Ovis aries: one gene and its partners. The protein of the gene in region 1 interacts with the protein of each later gene in a biochemical or structural test. Links are inferred from orthologs where the notes say so. Each region holds a gene or a part of one and is shown on either strand. Other genes may lie near its edges.

Evidence for each region.
Region 2: the proteins of MAP2K7 (region 1) and MAPK8IP2 form a complex in vitro, tested with the Homo sapiens proteins (2 studies listed by BioGRID). The link is inferred for Ovis aries from reciprocal best matches to the Homo sapiens genes MAP2K7 and MAPK8IP2.
Region 3: the proteins of MAP2K7 (region 1) and GADD45B form a complex in vitro, tested with the Homo sapiens proteins (2 studies listed by BioGRID and IntAct). The link is inferred for Ovis aries from reciprocal best matches to the Homo sapiens genes MAP2K7 and GADD45B.

Annotation. Positions count from the first base shown.
Region 1 is NC_056058.1:14,400,351-14,403,990, forward strand, and holds part of MAP2K7 (dual specificity mitogen-activated protein kinase kinase 7), read left to right. Parts: intron 1-1,984; coding exon 1,985-2,126; intron 2,127-2,284; coding exon 2,285-2,351; intron 2,352-2,471; coding exon 2,472-2,585; intron 2,586-2,688; coding exon 2,689-2,808; intron 2,809-2,903; coding exon 2,904-3,011; intron 3,012-3,106; coding exon 3,107-3,286; intron 3,287-3,381; coding exon 3,382-3,462; intron 3,463-3,585; coding exon 3,586-3,640. UniProt on the Homo sapiens protein: Dual specificity protein kinase which acts as an essential component of the MAP kinase signal transduction pathway. Essential component of the stress-activated protein kinase/c-Jun N-terminal kinase (SAP/JNK) signaling pathway.
Region 2 is NC_056056.1:225,852,367-225,856,006, forward strand, and holds part of MAPK8IP2 (C-Jun-amino-terminal kinase-interacting protein 2), read left to right. Parts: intron 1-90; coding exon 91-1,302; intron 1,303-1,606; coding exon 1,607-1,682; intron 1,683-1,808; coding exon 1,809-1,981; intron 1,982-2,061; coding exon 2,062-2,171; intron 2,172-2,920; coding exon 2,921-3,025; intron 3,026-3,141; coding exon 3,142-3,212; intron 3,213-3,640. UniProt on the Homo sapiens protein: The JNK-interacting protein (JIP) group of scaffold proteins selectively mediates JNK signaling by aggregating specific components of the MAPK cascade to form a functional JNK signaling module.
Region 3 is NC_056058.1:18,909,381-18,913,509, forward strand, and holds GADD45B (growth arrest and DNA damage-inducible protein GADD45 beta), read right to left. Parts: upstream 2,758-4,129; 5' UTR 2,526-2,757; coding exon 2,482-2,525; intron 2,379-2,481; coding exon 2,277-2,378; intron 1,875-2,276; coding exon 1,652-1,874; intron 1,385-1,651; coding exon 1,271-1,384; 3' UTR 628-1,270; downstream 1-627.

The DNA of each region.
Region 1 (3,640 bases):
GTCGGCTCTGTTGGGGGGCCCGTGGCGTGTCGTCTGCACCTGCTTGTGGGTTTGTGCCATGCCCTGTGTGTGTACGCGTGTGTGCTCACGGACAGCCTGGCAGGCTGCATGCTCCCCCCCCACCCCACCGCCCTGTGTCTTCCCTCGTCCTTGCTCATTCATCCTCCTCTTTTCTCTCTCCCCTTCAGTCTCTGGCTCTCATTTGGCCTTCCTGACCTGCCGTGGGCCCGGCACCACCTGTGTGATCTCTGTTTTCAGGGCCTTTGTATACCTCCTCCCGCCTTACCCCCCTTAGCCATCCTGCACCGGCTCCTCTTAAATACCTGCCGTGCTTCAGTTTGTGGGACCGGCTGGAAGCCTCTCTGCCCCCACAAACTGCCTTGGCCCCGGGCTCTGGGGGAGCCCTCAGAGGGCCCAGTGGACTGTGTGGGGGGTGGGGGGTGGGGGTGACAGGGCACAGAGAGGCCTGGGGAGGGGAGGGGAGGGGTGTGACCCTCACCCAGGGAGCCGAAGACAGTGTGGGGCAGTCTGCCAGGGATCCAGGGTCTTTGGGAGCCCTGGAGAGTGTCCAGCCAGAGAGGGAGGGTTTAGGACCAGGCTTCTGGCCATGGTAGAGCAGGGAGGGCACCGGAGGAGAGGCCTCTGGGCCAGTGGAGGGGACTGGGCTCAGCCACGTCCTCGGGCTCCCAGAGCTGTTCCATCACTCTCGCCATGCCCTCCTGGGACTGGCAGGCCAGGCTTATAGGTCTGTTCCTCGCTTTGGCTGCAACCAAGGTCGTAGGCCAGCAGGGCACAGAAAGTGCCCAGGCGCCAAGAGCCACACTGCATCTGTCTGTGCCTGTTGGCCACTGGGCCCACGCCACCAGGCGCCTGGAGAACTTGCAGGGGAGAAGCTCTGCCCCCCCGCCCAGCTCCCAGCCCGCTCTCCAAGGGGAGGTGGACCTGGGGGGTGCTTGTAGCCTTCGGCCTCCCCAGCCAGGGGCTCCCTTCTGGAGGCCGAGTGCCAGGGTCTCTGAGGTTTGCGGGTTCGCTGGAGGGCCGTCCACCTTTTCCAGGGCCACTCTGGCCTCTGCTCCCACTGTGTAGCCTGCCTGACCGGGAGGCTCCTTGTCCATCAGGGGCCTGCTCTCTGGTCCCCAGCCCCTCTCCGGCCTGTCTCTGCAGCGCCTCTTCTGGGCAGCTGGGCCCAAGTCTCAGCTCCCATCTGTCTGTCTCCCACCCTCCCGCCCCCTAATGCCGCCTGCCCATCCTGGGGTGCCCGCTGCCTGCCCGCTGCCTGCCCGCCTGCCTGTAGCATGCCCAAGCTGTCCGCATGCAGGCTTCTGGAAAGAACCAACCTCCCCACCTGGCCCGGCCCCTGGCCCTGGAGCCCTGCCGGCCCCTGGAGGGGCTGGGTCACCTGGCTCCCTTCACCTGAAGGACACAGGTCCAGCCTGGGCTCCTGCCCTGGCCGCATTGGCCCCAGCTCTGCAGGCCAGGCCGGAGGCTTACAGAGTCTGCTGGCCAGAGGGCAGCCCTCCCTGACCCTGAAACAGAACAGGCAAGGCAGCTGGAAGCCTGGGTCTCTCACCCACTCTCCCCAGTTCAGCGTTGCCACTTTGTGGGGGTGGTGGCCCTGAGCCTCTTCCTGGGCAGAGTGGGGAGGAAGGGGCCCCAGGGTAGGGGCGGCCTACCTGCCCGAGGTCCACTGGCAGCCTCAGGGCCTCCTTTCTCTATCAGGGAATACTTGGGGTGAACCCTCAGCCTCTGGGGACCACCCCTTCCCCCACCAGCCCACTGCAAGCCCTTCCCAGTCATGGGGGCTGGGAGAAAGCACCCCGAGAGTGGTCTAGGATTGGGGCGCGCTCCGTGTCTGCCAGGGCTGGGGGCTGTGCCAGCCCACCTAAGGGATACCAGGGAGGGAAGGATGGGGGCACCAGGGCCTGCAGTTGGGGCCAGCCAGGAGCTAACCCCCTCCCCACCCCTGGTTCTCACCACCCCCCAGCCCTGCAGCTCCCACTGGCCAACGATGGGGGCAGCCGCTCACCGTCCTCCGAGAGCTCCCCGCAGCACCCCACGCCCCCCGCCCGGCCCCGCCACATGCTGGGGCTGCCATCAACCTTGTTCACACCCCGCAGCATGGAGAGGTGAGCCTCCTGGTGGATGGTCGGGAGGTCAGGGCGCGCAGGGCCAGCCTCAGGGTGGCACTGGTGAGCTCTGTGGAACCCTCTGCATGTTGGAGGCTGGGGTAACCTCACGTTGGTCAGGACCCCCCTCCACCGGCACTCCCTCCCTCTCCTTTCAGCATCGAGATTGACCAGAAGCTGCAGGAGATCATGAAGCAGACCGGCTACCTGACCATCGGGGGCCAGGTAACCTAACGCACTTCCCTTGGTGGCCCCAGGGAGGGTGGGCACGACACAGCTGGGAGATGTGGGCCAGGGGTGAGGGCAGAGGCCTGCTGGATCCCCAGCCCTGGCTCTCCTTGCCAGCGCTACCAGGCGGAGATCAACGACCTGGAGAACCTGGGGGAGATGGGCAGCGGCACGTGCGGCCAGGTGTGGAAGATGCGCTTCCGGAAGACAGGGCACGTCATCGCTGTCAAGGTGAGCCCACCCCACCCTGCCCATGGGAGCACAACCCCCTTCCATGTCCCATGGGGCCCCTGCGCCCCAGGCTCAGCGCTAAGCCCTCGGCTGTCCCATGCAGCAAATGCGGCGCTCGGGGAATAAGGAGGAGAACAAGAGGATCCTCATGGATTTGGATGTGGTGCTCAAGAGCCACGACTGCCCCTACATTGTGCAGTGCTTCGGGACTTTCATCACCAACGTGAGACGAGGGCTTCCCCCAACCCCCCCATCTCCTCCCCTGGGCCCTGAGCCTGTCGGGTGGGCAGAGGGGTACAGCCACTGCTGTCCCTGCAGACGGACGTCTTCATCGCCATGGAGCTCATGGGCACGTGCGCAGAGAAGCTCAAGAAGCGGATGCAGGGCCCCATCCCCGAGTGGATCCTGGGCAAGATGACGGTGGCGGTGAGTGGCCTGGAGGGCACAAGTGGGCAGGCAGGCGCCCCCCCAGCCTCGGCTTCCACGTCACCGATAAGTGCCCTCCCCTGCCTACACTGCAGATTGTGAAGGCGCTCTACTACCTGAAGGAGAAGCATGGCGTGATCCACCGTGACGTCAAGCCCTCCAACATCCTGCTGGACGAGCGAGGCCAGATCAAGCTTTGTGACTTCGGCATCAGCGGCCGCCTGGTCGACTCCAAAGCCAAAACGCGGAGCGCGGGCTGTGCCGCCTACATGGCAGTAAGTAGGGGGACCGGGGGTGCTGGCGGGAGGGGTGGTGCACCCACCCCGGGCCCAGGGCTCATTCATCACCCTCTCCCACCTCCCACCTGCAGCCTGAGCGCATCGACCCCCCGGATCCCACCAAGCCTGACTATGACATCCGGGCCGATGTGTGGAGCCTGGGCATCTCCTTGGTGAGTTGGGGCCCCGGCTTTTGGAGGCTGGGTTTTCTCGCGGCCCGGAGGCAGGGAGTGGCAGCAGAAAGGGCAGGGCCCCGTCCTCCCTGGCCGGCCCAGCCTTGCCCGTTTCTCTCCCAGGTGGAGCTGGCGACAGGACAGTTCCCCTACAAGAACTGCAAGACGGACTTTGAGG
Region 2 (3,640 bases), on another chromosome or scaffold:
AGCAGGGCAGCAGGGTAGCGGTGGGTGTTGGGGAGCGGCACAGGAGGCGGGGGAGGGCAGGGGGGGCTGACCTGAGCCTCTGCCCCGCAGAGGCGCCCGTCCCCCTCGCGCCCACCGACACGGACCCCTGCGGGGCGCAGCCACCTGTGCGCCCAGGCTGCGACTCCGAAGGAAACCAGCCCGCAGGGCCCCTGGCACCTGGTGGGGCCTCCCCTTCCTCGGATCCGGGTATCGAGGCCGACCTGGGCAGCGGCTCCAGCGGAGGCCGCGGGGGCCGGCGCAGCAGCCAGGACCTGTCGTCCCCGGGCTCCGACTACGAGGACGTCGGGGGCGCGCGCCTAGGGCGCATGATCTCGTCTATCTCGGAGACCGAGCTGGAGCGGAGCAGTGACGACGGCAGCAGCAGCAGCGGCCGCTCCTCGCACCTCACCAACTCCATCGAGGAGGCCTCGTCGCCGGCCTCGGAGCCGGAGCCGGAGCCCGAGCCGCCCTGCGAGCCCCCGCGCCGCCCCGCCTTCCTGCCCGTGGGCCCCGAGGACACCAACAGCGAGTACGAGTCCGGGTCCGAGTCGGAGCCGGACCTCAGCGAGGACGCCGACTCGCCCTGGCTGCTCAGCAACCTCGTGAGCCGGATGATCTCCGAGGGCTCCTCGCCCATCCGCTGCCCCGGCCAGTGCCTGTCCCCCTCGCCGCGCCCTGCGGGGGAGCCTGCCTCACCCGCTGGCGAGGCCCCGGCGGCAGCGGCGGCGCCTGGCGGCGTGGAGCTGGTGGACATGGAGACGCTGTGTGGGCCGCCGCCGCCCGCGCCCCCCGCCCCTCGGCCCGGCCCTGCGCAGCCGGGGCCCTGCCTCTTCCTCAGCAACCCCACGCGCGACACCATCACCCCGCTGTGGGCCGCCCCAGGTCGCCCCGCCCGCCCAGGCCGTGCCTGCTCCGCTGCCTGCTCGGATGAGGACGACGATGAGGACGAAGAGGAGGAGGATGAAGCTGAGGCTAAGGCGGCGCCCCCCGGGGGCCGAGGAGCGGGCCCCGCGGCGCTGGACGCCTCGCTGGTGTACGACGCGGTCAAGTACACGCTGGTGGTGGACGAGCACACGCAGCTGGAGCTGGTGAGCCTGCGGCGCTGCGCCGGCCTGGGTGAGGACAGCGAGGACAGCGGAGGCGAGGCCAGCGAGGAGGAGGCAGGAGCCGTGCTGCTGGGTGGGGAGCAGGGCCCCGGGGACGCCTCCCCGGACAGCCCCGACCTCACCTTCTCCAAGAAGTTCCTCAACGTCTTTGTCAACAGCACCTCTCGGTCTTCCAGTGAGTGGGAAGGGGGAGGGGGTGGTTCCAGGGGAGCAGGCTGGCTCCTCGCCGGGGGCCGCAGATCAGCCCCCAAGAGCCAGGACAGCCTGAGGGTCTGCGGGTGGCCGGCGCTGGGCACTGCCCTCTTACCCAGCGCCTGCGTGGGGGCTTTCCCGGGCTACCCCCGCGTGGGGAGTGGCGAGGGGAGGCTGCTCTGTCTCCAGCCCCAGACAGGGCCAACCCACCCCAGGGGGCCGCGGGGAGGGGGCCCTGGCTGGCCTTCTAGCGCCTCCCTGAGCCTTCCTCTGTTTCTCTCTCTCAGGCACCGAGTCTTTCGGCCTTTTTTCGTGCCTGGTCAATGGGGAGGAGAGAGAGCAAACACACAGGGCTGTCTTCAGGTACAGGCACCCCCCTTGCTGGCGCTGACCCTCCACCCGAGTCTCAGACCCTCTGGGACCCTGGTGGGCACAGCCCAGCCCTCCTGCCCCTGCCCTAGTGATCTCCCACCTCTGACTCGCCCTCAGGTTCATTCCCCGCCATCCCGATGAGCTGGAGCTGGACGTGGATGACCCGGTGCTGGTGGAGGCTGAGGAGGACGACTTCTGGTTCCGTGGCTTCAACATGCGTACGGGCGAGCGCGGGGTCTTCCCTGCCTTCTACGCCCATGCGGTGCCAGGGCCTGCCAAGGACCTGCTGGGTGAGGCCCCTTCCCTAAGGGTCATTGTGTCACCCAGACCCTCTCTTGCTGGCCTAACCCAGGCCCCTTGTGGCCCTTAGGGAGCAAGCGGGGCCCCTGCTGGGTGGAGCGCTTCGACGTCCAGTTCCTGGGCTCCGTGGAGGTGCCTTGCCACCAGGGGAATGGCATCCTGTGTGCAGCCATGCAGAAGGTCAGTCTGGGGCTGGGGGTGGGGCGAGTGCTGCAGGCTGGCTCAGCCCTTGGAGGCCTCGAGCCTGGGACCCCCAGCGCTGATGGAGGGGCTGGCAGACAGGCCGAGGGCAGCGCCGTGGCTGTTCCCCGGCACCATCCCACTGACCTCCCCCTGCAGCCTGTCCTATTCGTGTCTGGAAGTCAAGACCAGCTCTCTCAGACCCTCCTCCGGGGGCTCACTGATAGTCCCTCAGTCGTGTCCGACTCTTTGCAGCCCCAGGCACTGTAGCCCGTCTGACTCCTCTGCCCATGGGATTCTCCAGGCAGGAACACGGGAGTGGTTGCCATTTCCTTCTCCAGGGCATCTGCCTGATCCAGGGATCGAACCCAGGTCTTCTGCATCGCAGGCGGATTCTTTACCACCTGAGCCACCGAGAATGCAATTTGCTCGCTCAGTATTCGCTCAGTGGCCGCTCAGGAGGGCCTGCCTGCCTGCCGGTCCTGAGACAGAGCCGGAGCAGCAGGGGGGCGGGGCAGCCCTGCCCCTACCCTCTCACGGGACGGGTGCTGAGGAGCCCGGGGCTGCAGTCCTGCAAAGGGCCGGGGAGAAGACGGGGCAGGCCACCCCGAGACCGCGGGGCGGCCAAGACCATGCTCATATCTTCCCGAATCAGGGCCACGGCTTTTCAGACCTAATTGAGAATGTTCCCCCAGGGGGGAAGCTGATGCTTGTAGGCCCCTGAGACCTTCTTCTCCTTGACTCTGCAGATTGCCACGGCCCGAAAACTGACCGTCCACCTGCGTCCTCCTGCCTCTTGTGACCTTGAGATCTCTCTCCGGGGTGTCAAGCTGAGTCTCAGCGGAGGCCCTGAGGTGGGGTGTGGGCCCTGAACCACCGAGGCGGCTGCAAAGGGCGGAGCAGGCGGATCAGAGCAGGCGTGTCTGGCGGGCTGGGCCACCTCTGCTAACCCTTCTGCCGTCTCTTCCAGTTCCAACACTGCAGCCACTTCTTCCAGATGAAGAACATCTCGTTCTGCGGCTGCCACCCCCGCAACAGCTGGTAAGAGGCTTCCCCTTCCCCTAGTCCCCTCAGGCCCCGAGGGCCGCCCACATGCAGTCCCGCCGTCCAGCAGCCCCACCCACTTGGCTCCATGAGGTGAGCCCCACATGGCGCCCGCTCTGTTCCGGGTCCGGGAGACATGGATCAGACAGGCTCCCATGTGGTCTGGGTGGGAAGACAGACACACAGTCAAGTAAGTGCTTGAAGCATCTCTAGGGATCCAGTGGACATCTCTCTGGGGCTCCAGCGAGCACAGAGGTGGCTGAATTCTCCTGGGACTTGGGGGGGGGGTGCAGTCGGAGACCACTCTATAAACCTCGAAAGACAGATGGGTGACAGGGTGGGTCTTCTTGGCATGGAGCCAGCTGAGCCAGGGCCAGGGGTGAGAGGCACTAGGGGGTCTTTAGGGGAGCCAGATGAGGCAGGAG
Region 3 (4,129 bases), about 4.5 Mb from region 1:
GGGAGCACGACTTCCTCGGGTATTTTGCTGCTTGTTGATTTAAGTTTGAGGAATGAAAAAAAATTTTTTTTCTTCAGTGGAGTGAAGAGGCCCATCCTAGGATGGAGCAGGCTTGGGTGGGGGGGTGCCCTCTGGGAGATCCTCAAAGTTCTTCCTGCTAGGCCCTAGCTCAGGGGCAGCTCTGAGCTCCAAGCCCACCTCGCTGTGTGGTCACAGGTGGCCCCTTGACCTCTCTGGAGCTGCGCTGCGGTGGCGGCTGAATAGGCAGGGGCTGCAGCCAGCCCCCCAGGGGTGCGTCTTCATGTGCCCAGAACCTGGGGTTGGCTCCAGCACCGCCAGTAACAGCAGCCACACGGCGGCCAGGTTTCGTAATAAACCGGTCTTTTAATTGCTACGGGGCAGGACGGGGGGAGAAGAAAAAAAAGAGGCAAAGATTTGTTGGACTTGGGTGGCGCCGGCTGCAGAGAGAAGAGGCACTGTTTTTGCAAGGAGCCTGGAGCGGCTAACTCGGACTTAAGTAACACTTCCTGGTGAGCCTGCAGGAGGGGGTGCAGGGGCACACTGCTGGGGTGGGAGGGCGTAGTGGGGGCTGGTCCCTCACAGGGACTGCAAATACACAAGAACCCAGAAGCTTTAAAAATTTATTACAAGGCATCATAGTAGAAGTAAAAATATATGTATCTGTAAGCTTCCCCTCTGTCTTTCAGTGGTTCAAGTAACAAGTGCAAGTAACAAAATAGATTGTCAATATACTGAGTTTGCAAGCTGGGAGTTCATGGGTACAGAGCAACATGAGCCCCTGCTCCCAAGTCCCAAAGTTATTGTCCGGGCCGGGCTGCCGACCCTAGGCCAACCAAGGCCCGTTTTTTTGCAGATGTCAGCTCGGGTCTCAAGAAGGGTGGGGGCTGCAGTCGTCAGTCCCACCCCACCCCCGAAGTGTGGAGCCCAGGCCCTCCTTGGTAGGGGAAGCAAGCAGCTCCCTGGCTCCTGCGTCTGCTCTGTCACCAGGCCTGAGCTCCCGGGTCCCCTCTCCTGCTGGCCCGGGTCCTGTCTTCTCCTCACACCGTGGCCGCCGCTGGCCCCCGGCTCCAAGCTTCCCGCCCTGGGGCGGCCGCGCACTCCCTCTCCTGTCTTCAGTCTCCAGCGATCCTGCCCCCGATGGTCTCACGGGTTGGGTTGTTGGGGGGGTTGTTCTGGGAGGGAGGGGGGGTCAAATATTTATGTGGTTTTGTGTTTTCGGCAGCAAGAGTTTCCGATGCCCGGCGGGGTCTCAGCGCTCCTGGAGGGAGATGTAGGGAACCCACTGGTTGTTCCCCCTACTTTCTTCGCAGTAACTGGCCACCTCCACCAGGCCGTGGCTTTTCCAGGTGTCTGTATGAGGGTTCTGTGGGAGGGCGAGAAGAGGGGGTTCAGCAGGAGCCCCAAGGAGTGGGTGGGGAGTGTCCCTCTCCCAGGGCTCCCATGGGGAAAACAGGCTGGCTCAAAATAACTCGCTAGGTGAAGAGGCCTGGAGGCTAGCAGGTTGCCCACGGGACATGCCAAGCGTGGCTGAACGCTGAGCTGGTGCACACCGGCCAGCTCCACTTTGTTGACAAACACGGGCCCAGGTGCCGGGTGGGGGTGGGGCAGGGCGGAGCCCCAGTTTGCTCACCGTGACCAGGAGACAGTGCAGGTCCCGGGCCTCGGTGGTGCCCTGGGTCTCGGCCGGCTCGCCCAGCAGCTGCGCCAGGCGCTGCATCCCCGACACCCGCACGATGTCGATGTCGTTGTCGCAGCAGAAGGACTGAATAAGCGTAAAGTGGATCTGCAGGGCGATGTCGTCCTCCTCTTCCTCGTCGATGGCCAGGAGGCACAGGACCACGCTATCAGGATCCCTGAGGGGCCAGAGGGGGATGGGTGGGTCAGCTGGGGACTCGGAAGGGCCCCCCTTCTCGTGCGGCGGGGAGTTTGCAAAAGCAGAGAGCAACTGCAGGTGTGCAGGGGATGGCATCTGCAAGCAGATGCTGGGGTGGGGGAGAAGACGCTCGGTTCAAAGGCCGGGCGTGGGTGGGGGGTAAGTCAGGGACATAAACAGGCGACTGTTTGCAAGTGATGTAGCCCCAGCATACTGCAGCCTCCACGCCTCAAAAAAAAAAAAAAGGGCAGAAAGATCCCCAATCCACAATGGGGACACTTGGGGGTGTCCCAGACCCATGCAAGACAGGAGTGCAGGAGGGAGATTGCAGAGCGGAGAGGGTCCCCACCCGCGCCCAGCCGGGAGACAGAGTCTGACTCACACATTCATCAGCTTGGCCGACTCGTACACCCCCACGGTGAGGCGGTCCTGGCGCTGCGCGGCCACCAGCAACTCCTCCACCGCGGCGCTCACCGTCTGCATCCTGGGGCCAAGGGAGAGCGGAGGTCAGCATCAGGCCAGGCACGGGGCGCCCCTTCCCCACCCGGCCCAGCCTGACCTCAGGTGGCAGGGGCGCCACTACTTACTTTTGCGCCGCGTTGTCGCACGCCACGAGCTCTTCCAGTGTCATGTTGCAGTTATAATCCACAGTGGAAAACAGCCTCACGACAGGTTCAAGGAAGAAAATGCAATATCCAAGGCTGGAAAGCCCAAAGCCTTCCCACGGAGACCAAGCGTTCGTCAAGACCTTAGGAAGGCAGCGAAATCCACCCCCAAAAAAGGCGGAAAAAATTGCAAGTGTCTCAGCAAGAATAATCCAAGTAGCAACTGCAAAAGATCCGAGTGCTCGGCGTCAGCGATCTGAGCTTGCGGCGGCAGGCACAGCCTTTTATAGACTAAGAGGTTAGGGGGCGAGGCCCCAGTGACCCGTTCGCCCCTCCGATTGGACAAAACACAAAGGCGAGAGAAATTCGCGCTGCGGTTGGTCGGCGGCGGGGAGGGGGCGGGGCGCCGCGCGGGGGTGCCCCACGTGGGGGCGAGAGCCGGGAGGAGGGCGCCGGGAGGGTGGGGGTGGAGCCGGGGGGAACTTGAGTGCCAGAAAAGAGAAAAAAAAGCAGAAGTTTTCTCTTATTTCCCGGCAGCCGCGCCGCGTTTCGGGGCGCGCGCGGGATTTCCAGCGCGCGAGGCGGCCCAGACTTTCGAGGGGGGGGGCCTGGAATCCCCTCCCGGTCCCCGGAGAGTCCCCGGCCCGAGTCTTTCCAGGTTCTGCAGCAGTTTTACACCGAGAGGGAGCCCAGTCTGCAGCCCGATCCCTAGGTGGTGGGGGGGGGGGGGGGGGGTAGCCCCAGGCTGCAGAGACCCCAGCCCCTGGGTGACTTTACTTTCTGGGCGTTTCTGCCCTTATCTGTCTAATGGGAATGCAAAGTTGGCCTCATTAGATTGCAGAGTCCTAAATAAAGTGAGGGATGCACAGTAAGCGCCTAGCACGCGGTGGTGGTCGCAGGAGGCCGCCTAGATCCCCCAAATTGCAGGCTGCGAAAGCGGCCTCAGAGTTCCCACCCGTCCTATGACAATGCGCACCGGCCTCACTGGGTTGCAGGAAACATTAACTAATAAGTGGAGTACACAAGAGACACTTGATAAATATCGCCTGGTAGTCTGGGAGGTCGCCTCGAGTTCCCCAGAACCAGGGGCTGCAGAGCCCAGGGCCGAGACCCGGTGCCCCCTCTCCAACCCCGCGAGTTTCAGGGTGGGGCGCGCGTGGGAGGCGCAGGTGGCTAGGCCTCGCAGGCTCCACGCCCCCTGCAGGCGCCTGGCATTGCAAGGTTTGACTGCCCCTGCTCACAGCGGCTCTGTTGGGGGAAATCCAGCCCGAGAGAGGGCGAAGGGAGCCGGTTCATCTGTGAGCCACGCGCTGCCACCTTTGCGCGCTTACTGTGATGGTGGCCGCTTTTATTCCCTCCGGAGTGGGCGCTGAATGTATGGAGCGCGCGCTTGGCCCCAGGTTCTCCGTATCACGGTTCATTGAATCCCCAAGAACCCGGGAAGCATGGGCTATGCTTATCTGCAGGATGCAAAAGGGTAAACTGAGGTTTGGTGGGGCCTCCACTAATTCAAGGCCCCAGTTAGCTGGTGCTGGAGTTACACGTGTGCGCCAGGCGCGGCCGCGCGCTCGGACAGCCGCCAACCACGCCATCTCCCTGGGAAAGCAGTTCACGAGCCAGGCGGGCAGGC